Linked DNA regions of Anolis sagrei. The protein of the gene in region 1 interacts with the protein of each later gene in a pairwise test. Links are inferred from orthologs where the notes say so. Each region holds a gene or a part of one and is shown in the gene's direction. Other genes may lie near its edges.

Evidence for each region.
Region 2: the proteins of BNIP2 (region 1) and KLC1 interact in binary tests that used the Homo sapiens proteins (3 or more experiments, as listed by UniProt). The two-hybrid records come from large-scale screens. The link is inferred for Anolis sagrei from reciprocal best matches to the Homo sapiens genes BNIP2 and KLC1.

What each region holds. Positions count from the first base shown.
Region 1 is NC_090029.1:4,524,221-4,532,119, forward strand, and holds the start of BNIP2 (BCL2/adenovirus E1B 19 kDa protein-interacting protein 2), read left to right. Parts: upstream 1-4,867; 5' UTR 4,868-5,032; intron 5,033-7,899.
Region 2 is NC_090021.1:327,288,110-327,295,777, reverse strand, and holds the start of KLC1 (kinesin light chain 1), read left to right. Parts: upstream 1-4,578; 5' UTR 4,579-4,712; intron 4,713-4,792; exon of another isoform or gene 4,793-4,814; intron 4,815-7,668. UniProt on the Homo sapiens protein: Kinesin is a microtubule-associated force-producing protein that may play a role in organelle transport. The light chain may function in coupling of cargo to the heavy chain or in the modulation of its ATPase activity.

The sequences.
Region 1 (7,899 bases):
GATACAATGCAGTTTAACTGCATTCAACAGCATTATATGAGCCTACTGCCATATGTGCAACTGCATTCAACAGCATTATATGAGCCTACACTGTCATATAGTTCAGATTAACTGCATTCAACAGCATGATATGAGCCTACACTGCCATATAATGGAGTTTAACTGCATTCAACAGCATTATAGGAGCCTACACTGCCATATCATGCAGTTTAACAGCATTGAACTGCACTGAACTGTAGGCTCGTATAATGCAATTTAACTGCACTGACCTGCATTATAGGAGCCCATGCCATGATATAATGCAATTCAGTGCAATTGAGCTGCATGATATGAAAGTGCACAAGTCCCAGGACTGTAGAATTCTGCCAGTTCAAGTGGTGCTAAAGTGCATTAAATCTACAGTGTGGATGGGTCTGGGGACCGAATCCCTGCTTGGCCATGAAACCCCAACCAAGTCGCGCTCTCTCAACCCCAAAGACGCTGTGAGATGTTTGCTATGAATCAAAATATCCAACAACAAATAAACAATATTTAGGAATGTTAAAAGGAGGAAGAGAAGGGGAGAAAGACTTTAAGAGTGCTTTATTTTAGCACAAGCTTTTTGTGGCTATAACCCCACTTTATATATCCGCTCATTAAATATATATATATATCATGGCCAGATGCTGGGAAAATATATCACTTTTTTGAATGTATTATTTTACTTGCTACCTACTTTGTATTGAAATCTTTTTCTCTTGATAGTCTCCATATTCAGTGATTGGCTGCCACCCTGTGGCAAAACAGAAAAGCTGCACAAAAGCAGAAAAATGGGACAAATGTAGGTAAAGGTAAAGGTAGTCCCCTGACATTAAGTCCAGCCATGTCTGACTCTGGGGTGTGGTGCTCATCTCCATTTCTAAGCCGAAGAGCCAGCGTTGTCCATAGACACCTCCAAGGTCATGTGGCCGGCATGACTGCATGGAGCGCTGTTACCTTCCCGCCGGAGCGGTACCTATTCATCTACTCACATTTGCATGTTTTCGAACTGCTAGGTTGGCAGAAGCTAGGGCTGACAGCGAAAGCTCACGCCGCTCCCCGGAATTGAACCTGCGACCTTTCGATCAACAAGCTCAGCAGCTCAGTGCTTTAACCCACTGCACCACCGGGGGCGGGGGGGGGGGGGGGGGAAATGTATATCCTTTTGAATATGTGGTTCCCAAACTTTTTTTTTTGACCAGGGGCCACTTTGACCAGGGTCCACTCTCCAACATTAGTGCTAAAAGGGTTACAAATCAGTTTTTGGCCAACTTTAGATTCGGTTTGGTTATTTGGCATGCTGATTCAGAAAATTTGCATTGGATAGACAACATCAGCTCTAGTATCCGATACAAAACACATGCCATCCAGAAGTCACCATCTGCTCATCCACAGAAAACCATATTTAATAATCTGGAATGTGTCCAGAGGAGGGCGACTAAAATGATCAAGGGTCTGGAGAACAAGCCCTATGAGGAGTGGCTTAAGGAGCTGGGCATGTTTAGCCTGAAAAAGAGAAGGCTGAGAGGAGACATGATAGCCATGTATAAATATGTGAGAGGAAGCCACAGGGAGGAGGAGGGAGCAAGCTTGTTTTCTGCTTCCTTGGAGACTAGGACGCGGAACAATGGCTTCAAACTACAAGAGAGGAGATTCCATCTGAACATGAGGAACTTCCTGACTGTGAGAGCCGTTCAGCAGTGGAACTCTCTGCCCCGGAGTGTGGTGGAGGCTCCTTCTTTGGAAGCTTTGAAACAGAGGCTGGATGGCCATCTGTCAGGGGTGATTTGAATGCAATATTCCTGCTTCTTGGCAGAATGGGGTTGGACTGGATGGCCCAGGAGATCTCTTCCAACTTTTTGATTCTGTGATTCTATGATCTAGAGTAGTGGTTCTCAACCTTCTTAATGCCGCGACCCCTTAGTACAGTTCCTCATGTTGTGGTGACCCCCAACTATAACATTATTTTCGTTGCTACTTCATAACTGTAGTTTTGCTATTGTTATGAATCATAATATAAATATCTGATATGCAGGATGTATTTTCAGTCACTGGACCAAATTTGGCACAAATACCCGATATGCCCAAATTTGAATACTGGTGGGGTTGGGGGTGATTGATTTTTGTCATTTGGTAATGCTGGAGTTGCTGGGATTTATAGTTCACCTAAAATCAAATAGTCTTCTGAACACCAATGATGGAATTGAATCAAGCTTGGCACGCAGAATTCTCATGACCAAGAGAAAATACTGGGAAGGTCTGGTGGACATTGACCTTGAGTTTTTGGAGTTGACATTTGGGAGTTGTAGTCACTGGGATTCACAGTTCACCTACAATCAAAGGGCATTTTGAACCCCACGAACAACAGAATCGGGGCAAACTTCCCACACAGAACCCCCATGACCAACAGAAAATACTTAAGGCCATCCAATCCAACTCTCTTCATCAGGGTAAGAACACGTAAACAAAGTCCTCCTGACAAAGAGCCATCCAGCCATAGAGATCGATAGACAGATAGATAGATAGTAAAGGTAAAGGTAGTCCCCTGACATTAAGTCCAGTCATGTCTGACTCTGGGGTGTGGTGCTCATCTCCATTTCTAAGCCGAAGAGCCAGCGTTGTCCGTAGACACCTCCAAGGTCATGTGGCTGGCATGACTGCATGGAGCGCCGTTACCTTCCCACCAGAGTGGTACCTATTGATCTACTCACATTTGCATGTTTTCGAACTGCTAGGTTGGCAGAAGCTAGAGCTGACAGCAGAAGCTCACGCCGCTCCCCGGAATCGAACCTGCGACCTTTCGATCAACAAGCTCGGCAGCTCAGTGCTTTAACCCACTGTGCCACCGGGGGCTCCACAGATAGATAGATAGATAGATAGATAGATATGATATGATATGATTCACACAGATATAGTATCATAGATTTGAAAGGGACCCTTAAAGAAGGACAGTGATATGTTGCATGTTCCAGGGTGGGCAAACCACAACACTGACAAAGAAACAACAAGAAATACTCTTTACCCACAAGCATAAAGAAATTACATATATTAGAAACCAACACTTTCTCATTCCTTTTATTTTCCAGATCAACAGACTGGGCCACAGCAACGCCTGGCAGGGGGCAGCTAGTATTATATATAATATAATAGTATTATTACATTACAATATCATAAGTTGTATATAAAATATATTATATAACATTAATATTATATATAATATAATAGTGTTATTACATTACAAGATCACAAGTTGTAGTATACAGAATATATTATACAACGACATGAATATTATATATAATATAATACTATTATATTATATCATATATAGAATATATGATATAACGACATTAATATCATATATAATAGTATTATATTATATAATATATAGAATATATGATATAACGACATTAATATCATATATAATAGTATTATATTATATAATATATAGAATATATGATATAATGACATGAATATTATATATAATATAATAGTATTATATTATATAATATATAGAATATATTATATAATCATTAATATCATATATAATACTATTATATTATATAATATATAGAATATATTATACAATGACATGAATATTATATATAATATAGTAAAGATAAAGGTAGTCCCCTGACATTAAGTCCAGTCATGTCTGACTCTGGGGTGTGGTGCTCATCTCCATTTCTAAGCCGAAGAGCCAGCGTTGTCCGTAGACACCTCCAAGGTCATGTGGCCAGCATGACTGCATGGAGCGCCGTTACCTTCCCGCCGGAGCGGTACCTATTGATCTACTCACATTTGCATGTTTTCGAACTGCTAGGTTGGCAGAAGCTAGGGCTGACAGCGGAAGCTCACGCCGCTCCCCGGAATCGAACCTGCGACCTTTCGATCAACAAGCTCAGCAGCTCAGTGCTTTAACCCACTGCGCCACCAGGGGCTCCTATATATAATATAATACTATTATATTATATAATATATAGAATATATGATATAACGACATTAATATATATAATATAATAGTATTATATTATATAATATATAGAATATATGATATAACGACATGAATATTATATATAATATAATAGTATTATATTATATAATATATAGAATATATTATATAATGACATTAATATCATATATAATACTATTATATTATAGAATATATAGAATATATTATACAACAACATGAATATTATATATAATATAATACTATTATATTATAGAATATATAGAATATATGATATAGACATTAATATCATATATAATAGTATTATATTATATTATATATAGAATATATTATATATAATATATAGAATATATAATAGTATTATATTATATAATATATAGAATATATTATATAACGACATGAATATTATATATAATATAATAGTATTATATTATATAATATATAGATTATATTATATAATGACATTAATATCATATATAATAGTATTATATTATATAATATATAGAATATATTATACAACGACATGAATATTATATATAATATAATAGTACTATTACATTACAATGTCATTATTTCTATATATTATTATGTTGCAAAAAATTATTATAATTATGCAAAAGAAATAAAATGTACACAAGGTTCTTCCTCCAAGAAACCCATTCTGGACTCCAAAGCAGGACTCGTTTTGCATTTCCCCGCCCCTTCATTTGCATGCACCCCGCCCACTGAATCATTTATAGACTGTCCCCTCTATACGCATGCGCACTCTTGAGCTCAGCGAGTCGCGGAGAAACCTTTCCCAACCGAGAGAGGAGACCTCCTTGGCGCGTGCGCAGTGTGCTCCGCCGTCTCCAGCCAACCACTGCGCATGTGCAGAAGTAGCGGTTTCTGTTGTTCTTCGTCGGTGGTCTCTATCGGCTTCCTGTTTGGTGGAGACTGTTTCCGGGGCGAGGTCGTAGCTCTTACAAAATGGCCGGTTGAGGGTGTTGTGGAGGGGCTGAAGGGACGCCCTCTCTCGGGTTTTTTTTCCCCCCTCCTCCCTTTTGGGTGAGTATAAAGGGGCATATTATGGGATGTGGGCCTCAAAGGGGAATCAGAGGCCTGCCTTGGGCCCAAGGGGAAGGAACCGCCTCCGAAGAGGCCCACCTCGCAGGGCTGTGGGTGGTTTTGTAGTCGAAGAGAAGGCTTCCAAATGGCCTTGCATACAATTGGCATCCTTTGAGGCCTGTCAGTCATTGTGACAGACACCCTGTCCCAGAGCCTGCCTTATGGAGAAAAAAGCGAGGGATAAATACAACAAAATAATTATTTATAATAATAATAATAATAATAATAATAATAATGCAGTGCTTTTAAAATTAGCCACTTTCAGTTTCTTAGAATCATAGAATCCAAGAGTTGGAAGAGACCTCATGGACCTTTATCCAGTCCAACCCTATTCTGCCAAGAAGCAGGAATATTGCATTCAAATCACCCCTGAGAGATGGCCATCCAGCCTCTGTTTCAAAGCTTCCAAAGAAGGAGCCTCCACCACACTCCGGGGCAGAGAGTTCCACTGCTGAACGGCTCTCACAGTCAGGAAGTTCTTCCTCATGTTCAGATGGAATCTCCTTTCATGTAGTTTGAAGCCATTGTTCCGCGTCCTATCATATCACCTCTCAGCCTTCTCTTCTTCAGGCTAAACATGCCCAGCTCCTTAAGCCACTCCTCATAGGGCTTGTTCTCCAGACCCTTGATCATTTTAGTAACTTGTACTTATAGAATCATAGAATCAAAGAGTTGGAGGAGACCTCCTGGGCCATTATCCAGTCCAACCCCATTCTACCAAGAAGCAGGAACATTGCATTCAAATCACCCCTGACAGATGGCCACCCAGCCTCTGTTTCAAAGCCTCCAAAGAAGGAGCCTCCACCACACTCCGGGGCAGAGAGTTCCACTGCTGAACGGCTCTCACAGTCAGGAAGTTCTTCCTCATGTTCAGATGGAATCTCCTCTCTTGTAGTTTGAAGCCATTGTTCCATTGCGTCCTAGTCTCCAAGGAAGCAGAAAACAAGCTTGCTCCCTCCTCCCTGTGGCTTTCTCTCACATATTTATACATGGCTATCGTATCTCCTCTCAGCCTTCTCTTCTTCAGGCTAAACATGCCCAGCTCCTTAAGCCGCTCCTCCTAGGGCTTGTTCTCCAGACCCTTGATCATTTTAGTCGCCCTCCTCTGGACACATTCCAGCTTAGAGTCAATATCTCTCTTGAATTGTGGTGCCCAGAATTGGACACAATATTCCAGGTGTGGTCTAACCAGAGCAGAATAGAGCATGGGGAGCATTACTTCCCCAGATCTAGAAATATATAATAAGTAAATAAATAAAAAAGTGGGATATAAATAAAACATCATAATCATATATTGGTTATTATTATTTGTTATTACTATTATATTGTATGCTTGTATGTTTTAAATTGTAATGCTTTTAATGTTAGCCGCTTTGAGTCTCTTTATGGAGAGAAAAAGCAGGATGTCAATAAACATAATAATAATAATAATAATAATTCTATCTGAACATGAGGAAGAACTTCCTGACTGTGAGAGCCGTTCAGCAGTGGAACTCTCTGCCCCGGAGTGTGGTGGAGGCTCCTTCTTTGGAGGCTTTTAAACAGAGGCTGGATGGCCATCTGTCAGGGGTGATTTGAATGCAATATTCCTGCTTCTTGGCAGAATGGGGTTGGACTGGATGGCCCATGAGGTCTCTTCCAACTCTTTGATTCTGTGACAGGCTTTTCTTGCCACGATTTTCCTGAAGAGACCGAGGGTGCATCTGCACTGTACAATTGATGTGGTTTGCCACCACTTTAACTGCCATGCTTCAATGCTATGGAATAATAAGGAGTTTTAGCTTTACATGTTCTTTTGCTGGAGATTTCCGGTGCCTCACCAAACTATGAATTCTATGATTGCACAGCATGGAGCCATGGCAGTTCACATAGTGTAAAACTGCATTCATTCTGCAATGTAGATCAGGCCTGAGTCAACCCGGCTGTTAGGAATTGTGGGAATTGAAGTCCAAAACACCTGGAGCCCATAGTTGGCCCAGGCCTGGTGTAGATGCACCCAGGTGACCAAGAAGAGAATAATATCAAGCCTCTCCTTCTGCCTTATTGCTTTGCTATTGTTTGCACAGCGATAAAGGTTTTTCTTTCTAATCTCAAGACTTGTTTTCAACTCATCTTTTCAGAGGGATGTCATCACAGCCAAAGTTTTGTTTGTCTAATGACTACAATTGAGGCGGCATTCCTTGTCTGACATGTTTGCATTTCTGCCCCTCCCGGCCTTTTCTTTAGAAGTCCACACCCAAATGAGTTCACCCAGAGATAACATTTAAGGTGTTTTAATATGCGCACGAGAGTGCTATTTAATAGTCAAGAATTATACTATATCTTGAGCAGTTTTCAATGCCATATGTTGGGAGCTCTGCTTATCTGTCCTCAGATTAGCAAATGGCACCTTGAAGACTAAATACGTTTTATTATGACTTCTTAAATGCAATGCAAGAGAGTGTTTGCCAGATAAAGCATGTAATTATGTCATTATCCTTTGACATGCCTATTCCCTTGGAAACCCATAGGTTCATAGTTTAAACAGAAACAATCCTTTTATTATTAACTAGCCGTCCCCTGCCACGCGTTGCTGTGGCCCACATGGGGGTTCTGTGTGGAAGGTTTGGCCCAATTCTATTGTTGGTGGGGTTCAGAATGCTCTGTGATTGTAGGTGAAATATAAATCCCAGCAACTACAACTCCCGAATGTCAAGATTCTATTTTCCCCAAACTCCAGCAGTGTTCACATTTGGGCATATTGAGTATTCGTGTCGAGTTTGGCCCAGATCTATCATTGTTTGAGTCCACAGTGATCTCTGGATGTA
Region 2 (7,668 bases), on another chromosome or scaffold:
AACTGTACTCTCTGTTCGTTTCTGACATGATAAATAAATAAAACTATATTTGCACCTAAAGACATTTGGGTAAATTCAACTCTACCCAGATTTGTTCATTTATTTAGAACTTTTGTATCCCGTTCTTCTCTACCTCCATGGAGGGACTTATTAATATTCAACCCTATAAGACTCATAGAAGCAAAGATATTCTTGGCTATCCCTGATTGTCTCCAGAAATTTCATCAAACTGCAAGTTACTAATTCCTCCCCAATGCTGGATCCAAAGAAAAGGGCTCACCTTACAGCTCATCTGGCATCCCTTTAAGGAAACTGACATTTACTCCTTGCAAGTCCTGGCAATTTTCCAGCATTACATTTTTAGTCTTCACCACACCAGCCTGGGGAAATAGGATGAGTCTGATGGCATTTAAATCATGATCTGCAGACCACAAGTTGCTAATATAACAGGTCTTTCAAGGTTGGCTTCTATGATTCCTGCTAGATTAGGGCAGTGTTGACACCCAAGCTGCCTACCTGTTGTGGCCCAATGTTGACAGCAATGATTTGTGGTGGCACTTTGAGTTCCTCTGAAATATTTTCTGAAATGTAGAATTCTCAAGACAATGAATTCTATAAAGAAAGGGCTCAGGCCTGTAGCCAGGATTTCGATTCGGGGGGGGGGGGCTGTTTGTTTCGGGGGGGGGGGGCTGAGTCTAAGTGAAAGAGGGTCTACCCTAGCAAACCTTTTGTATCGTTACCCCAATACCCCCATGCATATGGGATATATTGAGTATGGTGATCAGATCATGATATGAATATCTTTGGCCCCTGTCAACACTGGCATTATAATGCAGATGGAACTGGGTTATATGGTCAGTGTAGAGTCATATAATGCAGTTAGGCCCCTTCTACACTGCCAATGCAGTTAGGCCCCTTCTACACTGCCATATAAAATCCATATTATCTGCTTTGAACTGGATTATATAGCAGTGTAGACTCATATAATCCAGTTCAAAGCAGATAACGTGGATTATCTGTTTTGATAATCTGGATTATATGGCAGTGTAGAAGGGGCCTAAGTGTGTTGTATAATGTAGTAAGTTTGGATATAAAGATAAATAAATTTAAATATAACCACAAACCTTTTTATTTGGAAAATATTGGCTATAACCATATACATTTAGTTTGGTACAGGAAAATATTGGATTCACATCTACAGTGACAAAATAAATTGTTTAATTTTTGTACTTAAAATAGTTTTGAAGTTGGGCTTTATTCCTTACAGCTGAATACATAGATTTGGGGTGGCATCCAATTAAAATTGATTTGGTGTAAGCTGAAAAGCTGGATCGGCAGCAACTGACAGCTATACGTCTATCAGTCTTACGCAAAAGCCATTCAGTGGCACGGATTCAAATTTCATTTTTAAATCAGATGTACATTGAATTTCAATAAGTTCTTCATATTCTGGCATGGGCATTTAAAAAAGTAATTCAAAGATTTTTCGCAGAATCCCTACTAATGCTTTTGTGGAACCCTTGGCTTCTGCGGAACACAGTTTGGGAACTGCCGCCCTAGATGATCCTAGTAACCCTATTGAAATGAGGAAACCCTGCCAGACATTACTATAATGTCAGCACGGAGGATTTAGAACTCTTCTTAGGTCCCTTCTACACTTCAATATAATCCAGATTATCAAAGCAAAAATCCACATTATCTGCTTTGAACTGGATTCTATGAGTCTACAATAGCACATATTCCAGTTCAAAACAGATAATCTGGATTTTATATGGCAGTGTAGAAGGGGCCTAAGGCTGAATCTATACTGTCATCTAATGCAGTTCAAACTACAAGCGCTTCCACACAGCCCTTTATCCTAGGAGCATTTGTGTTTTAAAAATGTGAATGTTCCTGGGCCCCAATCCACACACACCCCAGAAAGCATGTGCTTTCTGGGATGGGTGTCCAGATGTTCTCACAGAACTTTCCAAGACAGCACCCGGAGCACCTCCTCCCCTTAAAAAACAAAAGAACTTACCTGGCCTCCATTAGATAGCTGCCTGGGCTCTCCTGGAGTGTAGAAATGAAGTACCAGGAGAAGGGGGGCAGGAGCGATTCCCCCCCCCCTTCTCCTGGATTTTCCTCCCCCCCCCCCTTTCTCCTGACAGCTCTCTAATGGAGGTCAGGTAAGTTCTTTTGTTTTGTAAACAGCTTTTCAGAGTTTTTGGAGAGGAGGGCTTGCAGTTTTCCGGACTAATTTAGCCTGGAAAGCTGTGGGACTACTATCTGGACTGCCCCATCAAAAGTCCAGAACTTTTGAGGGAGCAGTCCAAACACCAGAAGTAGTGGGTTTATCTCATGCCTTCCAAGAATGCACAAAATAAACCCACAGGACAAGATGGCCCCATTGCCTCTTCCTACCCGCTTTGGGGGAAGTAGCTACTTTTCACAAATGCGCCTTTCTGTGTGGGACCTCTTGCCACGGAAGGAAACCTGAACCGTCTCCTCTGTCATTTGCATGATTGTGCCAATATGTCCTGTTTTGAGCTACCATGATCCAGAGCCTCTGGGTCGCGCCCCCCCCCCCCAAAAATGGGGCTCTGCCATGACTATCGTGCACACAATAAACTTTTCCTGGGTAGGGCCAAGACCCCTCAATCATTTTAATTATTTTTCCTGTTGAATAGAGGGAAACCCATTCATCGCCACTCAATGCCCTTTGTCTCTTCACAAGCTGACTGCTCAGCAAAGCCCCCTTTCTGTGATTGGTCAGAATTGGGAGGGTCATCCAATGGGCTTCTCTACAGTTGATGCTGCCACAGTGGGAAATTTGAAATTATTCTGTATAAAAGAGGCTGCATTTCCGAATTCTGGCATTCTAGCATGTTTGTGAGAGATCATGAGCTAGCATCTTAAGGCCTTATATGGTCTGGGGCCGGCGTACCTGAGGACCCGCTTATCCCCCTACCAACCCCAGAAATTACTTCGGTCCGAAGACCAAAATTTGCTTGAAGTCCCCATCATCCGGACTTATCATCTGTCCTCTACTAGGCAGAGAGCCTTATCGATTGTAGCCCCTTATTTATTAAATTAAATATATATATATCCTTATCACATTAAGGGTGCATCTATACTGCAGAATTGATGCAGTTTGACACCACTATAAACAACATGACTCAATGTCACAAAACTATAGGATTCCACTTAGTGTATGTTTGTAAATTTGTACCACAAAGGCTCCTAGATAGTTTGAAGGATGCAGGCCAAACTTGGCACACATTCCCTTCATTGGGCAACTTAAAATCATGGACAGCTTTGAACTAAAACATTAAACACATCTGGAGCCCAGAGCAGAGAGGAGAAAATGGATTATATGGCAGTGTGGACTCAGATACCCCAGTTTACAGCAGATATTGTGGGATGTTCTGCCTTGATATTCTGGGTTATATGGCTATGTGGAAGGGCCCTGAGTCTACACTACTATATAATTCAGTTACATGTGGCTTTGTGTGGAGGGGCAACATTGGGAAATGCATATCTGGGCGATGTTGGTATGCATGTATATATCAATGCGTGTGTTTGTTGTTGTTAATTCGTTGAGTCATTTCCAACTCTTCATGGACCAGCCCATGCCAGAGCTCCCTGTTGGCCATCACCACCCCCACCTCCTTCAAGGTCAATCCAGCCACTTCAAGGATGTCATCTTGCCCTTGGTCGGCCCCTCTTCCTTTTTCCTTCCATTTCCCCCATCATCACTGTCTTCTCTAGGCTTTCCTTTCTTCTCATGATGTGGCCAAAGTGCTTCATCTTTGCCTCTACTATCATTTCCTCCAATGAGCAGCCGGGCTTTATTTCCTGGAGGATGGACTGGTTGGATCTTCTCGCAGTCCAAGGCACTCTCAGAACTTTCCTCCAACACCACAGCTCAAAAGCATTTATCTTCCTTCGCTCAGTCTTCCTTATGGTCCAACTCTCACATCCGTAGGTGACTACGGGGAATAGCATTGCTTTAACTATGCAGACCTTTTCTAAACCCAGCTTGAACGTCTGGCAACTCTCGCTCCAAGTATTGCTGGAGTCTTCCTTGCAGGATCTTGAGCATTACCTTACTGGCATGAGAAATAAGGGCCACTGTACGGAAGTTGGAGCACTCTTTAGCATTTCTCTTTTTTGGTATGGGGGTATAAGTTGATTTTTTCCAGTCTGATGGCCATTCTTGTGTTTTCCATATTTGCTGGCATATGGCATGCACCCCTTGACAGCATCACCTTTCAAGACTTTAATCAATGCTTGTATGCATGTATATATATACATATATCACTGTTTATGCCTGTGAGTGAAGAGAGCTTCAGGGGTGATTTGAATGCAATATTCCTGCTTCTTGGCAGGGGGTTGGACTGGATGGCCCATGAGGTCTCTTCCAACTCTTTGATTCTATAATTCTATGATTCTAAAGCAACCCTCCTATCAGCGTTGGCGCATGCGCGTTGCCACTCAGCTTGCCTTCCCTTACTATAGCGAGGGAGCAAGAGAGAGAGAGAGAGGAGTTGACGTCATGGTCTTGGCCAGCGCGCGGTGCATTGTGGGCTGGGAGGGGCCGCCATTTTCGGTGAGGAGAGGGGGCGGAGCCACGGGCTGCTCAGTCAGGCTAGGGAGCTGAAGCCGGGAAGAAGCGGCGGAGGTGGCGGTGGCGGTTTTGGGGGATCCCGCCCGACTGACAGCCGGCTGGGGTGAGTCACGGCTCAGGCCTCGGTCGGTTTCCCCTCGTAGGGCCCGCCCTTCAGCCCTCCATCCCTCACAAAAGCCAGGCCTGCTGCCTTTCCCGTCGTCAGGTATACCGGCTTCTTCTTTCTCCCCGAGGGAGGCAGTTGTGCGACGTCGCCACCTAGAGGCCAGTGCGGGAATTGGAGCTAGGGAGGTGTTTCTGGGGGGAAAGTTGTCTTGCACCAAGGGCCCTTCTGCACAGCAGTATAACCAGGCATGGGCAAACCCCGGCCTTCCCTCCAGGTGTTTTAGACTTCAACTCATAGAATCATAGAATCAAAGAGTTGGAAGAGACCTCATGGGCCATCCAGTCCAACCCCTTGCCAAGAAGCAGGAATATTGCATTCAAATCACCCCTGACAGATGGCCATCCAGCCTCTGTTTAAAAGCTTTCAAAGAAGGAGCCTCCACCACACTCCAGGGCAGAGAGTTCCACTGCTGAACGGCTCTCACAGTCAGGAAGTTCTTCCTCATGTTCCTCTCTTGTAGTTTGAAGCCATTGTTCCGCGTCCTAGTCTCCAAGGAAGCAGAAAACAAGCTTGCTCCCTCCTCCTTCCTCCCTCCATATATACATGGCTATCATGTCTCCTCTCAGCCTTCTCTTCTTCAGGCTAAACATGCTCAGCTCTTTAAGCCGCTCCTCATAGGGCTCGTTCTCCAGACCCTTGATCATTTTAGTCGCCCTCCTCTGGACACATTCCAGCTTGTCAATATTTCTCTTGAATTGTGGTGCCCAGAATTGGACACAATATTCCACGTGTGGTCTAACCAGAGCAGAATAGAGGGGTAGCATTACTTCCCTAGATCTCGACACTATGCTCCTATTGATGCAGGCCAAAATCCCATTGGCTTTTTTTGCCGCCACATCACATTGTTGGCTCATGTTTAACTTGTTGTCCACGAGGACTCCAAGATCTTTTTCACACGTACTGCTCTCGAGCCAGGCATTGTCCCCCATTCTATATTTTTGCATTTCGTTTTTCCTGCCAAAGTGAGTATCTTGCATTTGTCACTGTTAAACTTCATTTTGTTAGTTTTGGCCAATCATCTCTCTAATCTGTCAAGATCGTTTTGAATCCTGCTCCTGTCCTCTGGAGTATTGGCTATCTCTCCCAATTTGGTGTCGTCTGCAAACTTGATGATCCTGCCTTCTAGCCCTTCATCTAAGTCATTAATAAAGATGTTGAACAGGACTGGACCCAGGACGGAACCTCTGTTAGGAATTGTGGCAGTTGAAGTCCAAAACACCTGGAGGGAGGGCCGGAGTTTGCCCACGCCTGCATATAACCCAGAATATCTCTTTTATTTTTGGTTCCAAGTTTTTTTTAATTATGTCCATTTTAATTTACTTTCTCTACCTCTCTCCGCCCTTTTCTTTTAGACATTATTATTATTATTATTATTAACTTTATTTGTACCCCGCTAGCATCTCCCGAAGAACTCGATGCGGCTTACAAAGGCCAAGGCCTCAATGCACACCAAAACAATACAAAAACAATTAAAGCAATATTAGACAACAAAGCAACAACAATAAACAATACACCAAAACACAATAAAACTGGGCCGGGCCAGAGTAATGGGTACAGAATTAAAAGTGCTGATGTGACAGGTGGTATATAAGGATTATAGGGTAAGTGCAGTGTGCGGCAACCTTATTTATTTATTTATTTATTTACTTTGCTTATATACCGCTGTTCTCAGCCCGAAGGCAACTCACAGCGGTTTACGCACAATAAAAACAGCAGTAATTCAATGCATATATAACAATTGACCACTTAACACATTATCCAGTTAATAAACAACAAGCAATTACACTAAACAGTTATTACAATAACCAGCCCAATCGTCTCATCATCAAAGCGTAGTCCAGGTTCTTCGTCCATTGTTCCATTCCTATGTTCAGTTACCAATATTGCACTAGATTACTCGAACGCCTGCACAAACATCCAGGTCTTCAACTTTTTTCGGAATGCCATGAGAGATGGTGCCTGCCTAATGTCCGCAGGAAGGGCGTTCCACAATCTTAGTTCTAATAAAGTGCTTCTGGGACTTGGTATTGGAGATTTCCTATTCTGGGAAGGCACATCGGAACAGCCAGGTCTTCAAGTTCTTTCTAAAGACTGCCAATGTAGGGGCCTGTCTAAGATCTTTGGGGAGGGTGTTACAGAGTCGAGGGGCCACCACAAAGAAGGCCCTGTCTCGTGTCCCCACCAAATGCGCTTGCAACGCAGGAGGGACACGAGCAGGGCCTCTCCAGATGAATGAAGTGAATGCGTGGGTTCGTAAACGGAGATGCGGTCACGCAGGTAGGATGGTCCCAAACCGTTCAGGGCTTTGTAGGTAAGCACCTGCACCTTAAATTGGGCTCGGAAAATAAACGGCAGCCAGTGGAGCTCCTTGATCAGAAGGGTTGACCTCTCTCTGTAAGAAGCACCAGTTAACATCCTGGCCGCTGCTCGTTGGACCAATTGAAATTTCAGAGCAGTTTTCAAAGGCAGCCCCACATAGAGCGCATTACAGTAGTCCAATTTAGAGGTGACCAAGGCATGGACCACCCCGGCCAGATCAGCCTTCGCGAGGTACGGTTGCAGTTGGCGCACGAGTCTCAATTAGACATACTCTTTGTACCATAAGCAACAGAAATTACATTTGAAATATCAGTCTTAATAATAATAAAACTTTATTTTTATCCCGCTACCATCTCCCCAAGAGGACTTGGGGCAGCTTACGTGAGGCCAAGTCCAGCAATTATAGCAATGCAAATATACAACATAAAAATACAAAAAAATATTTTTTGTCGTGTCAGGAGTGACTTGAGAAACTGCAAGTCGCTTCTGGTGTGAGAGAATTGGCCGTCTGCAAGGACGTTGCCCAGGGGACGCCCAGATGATTTGATGTTTTTATCATCCTTGTGGGAAGCTT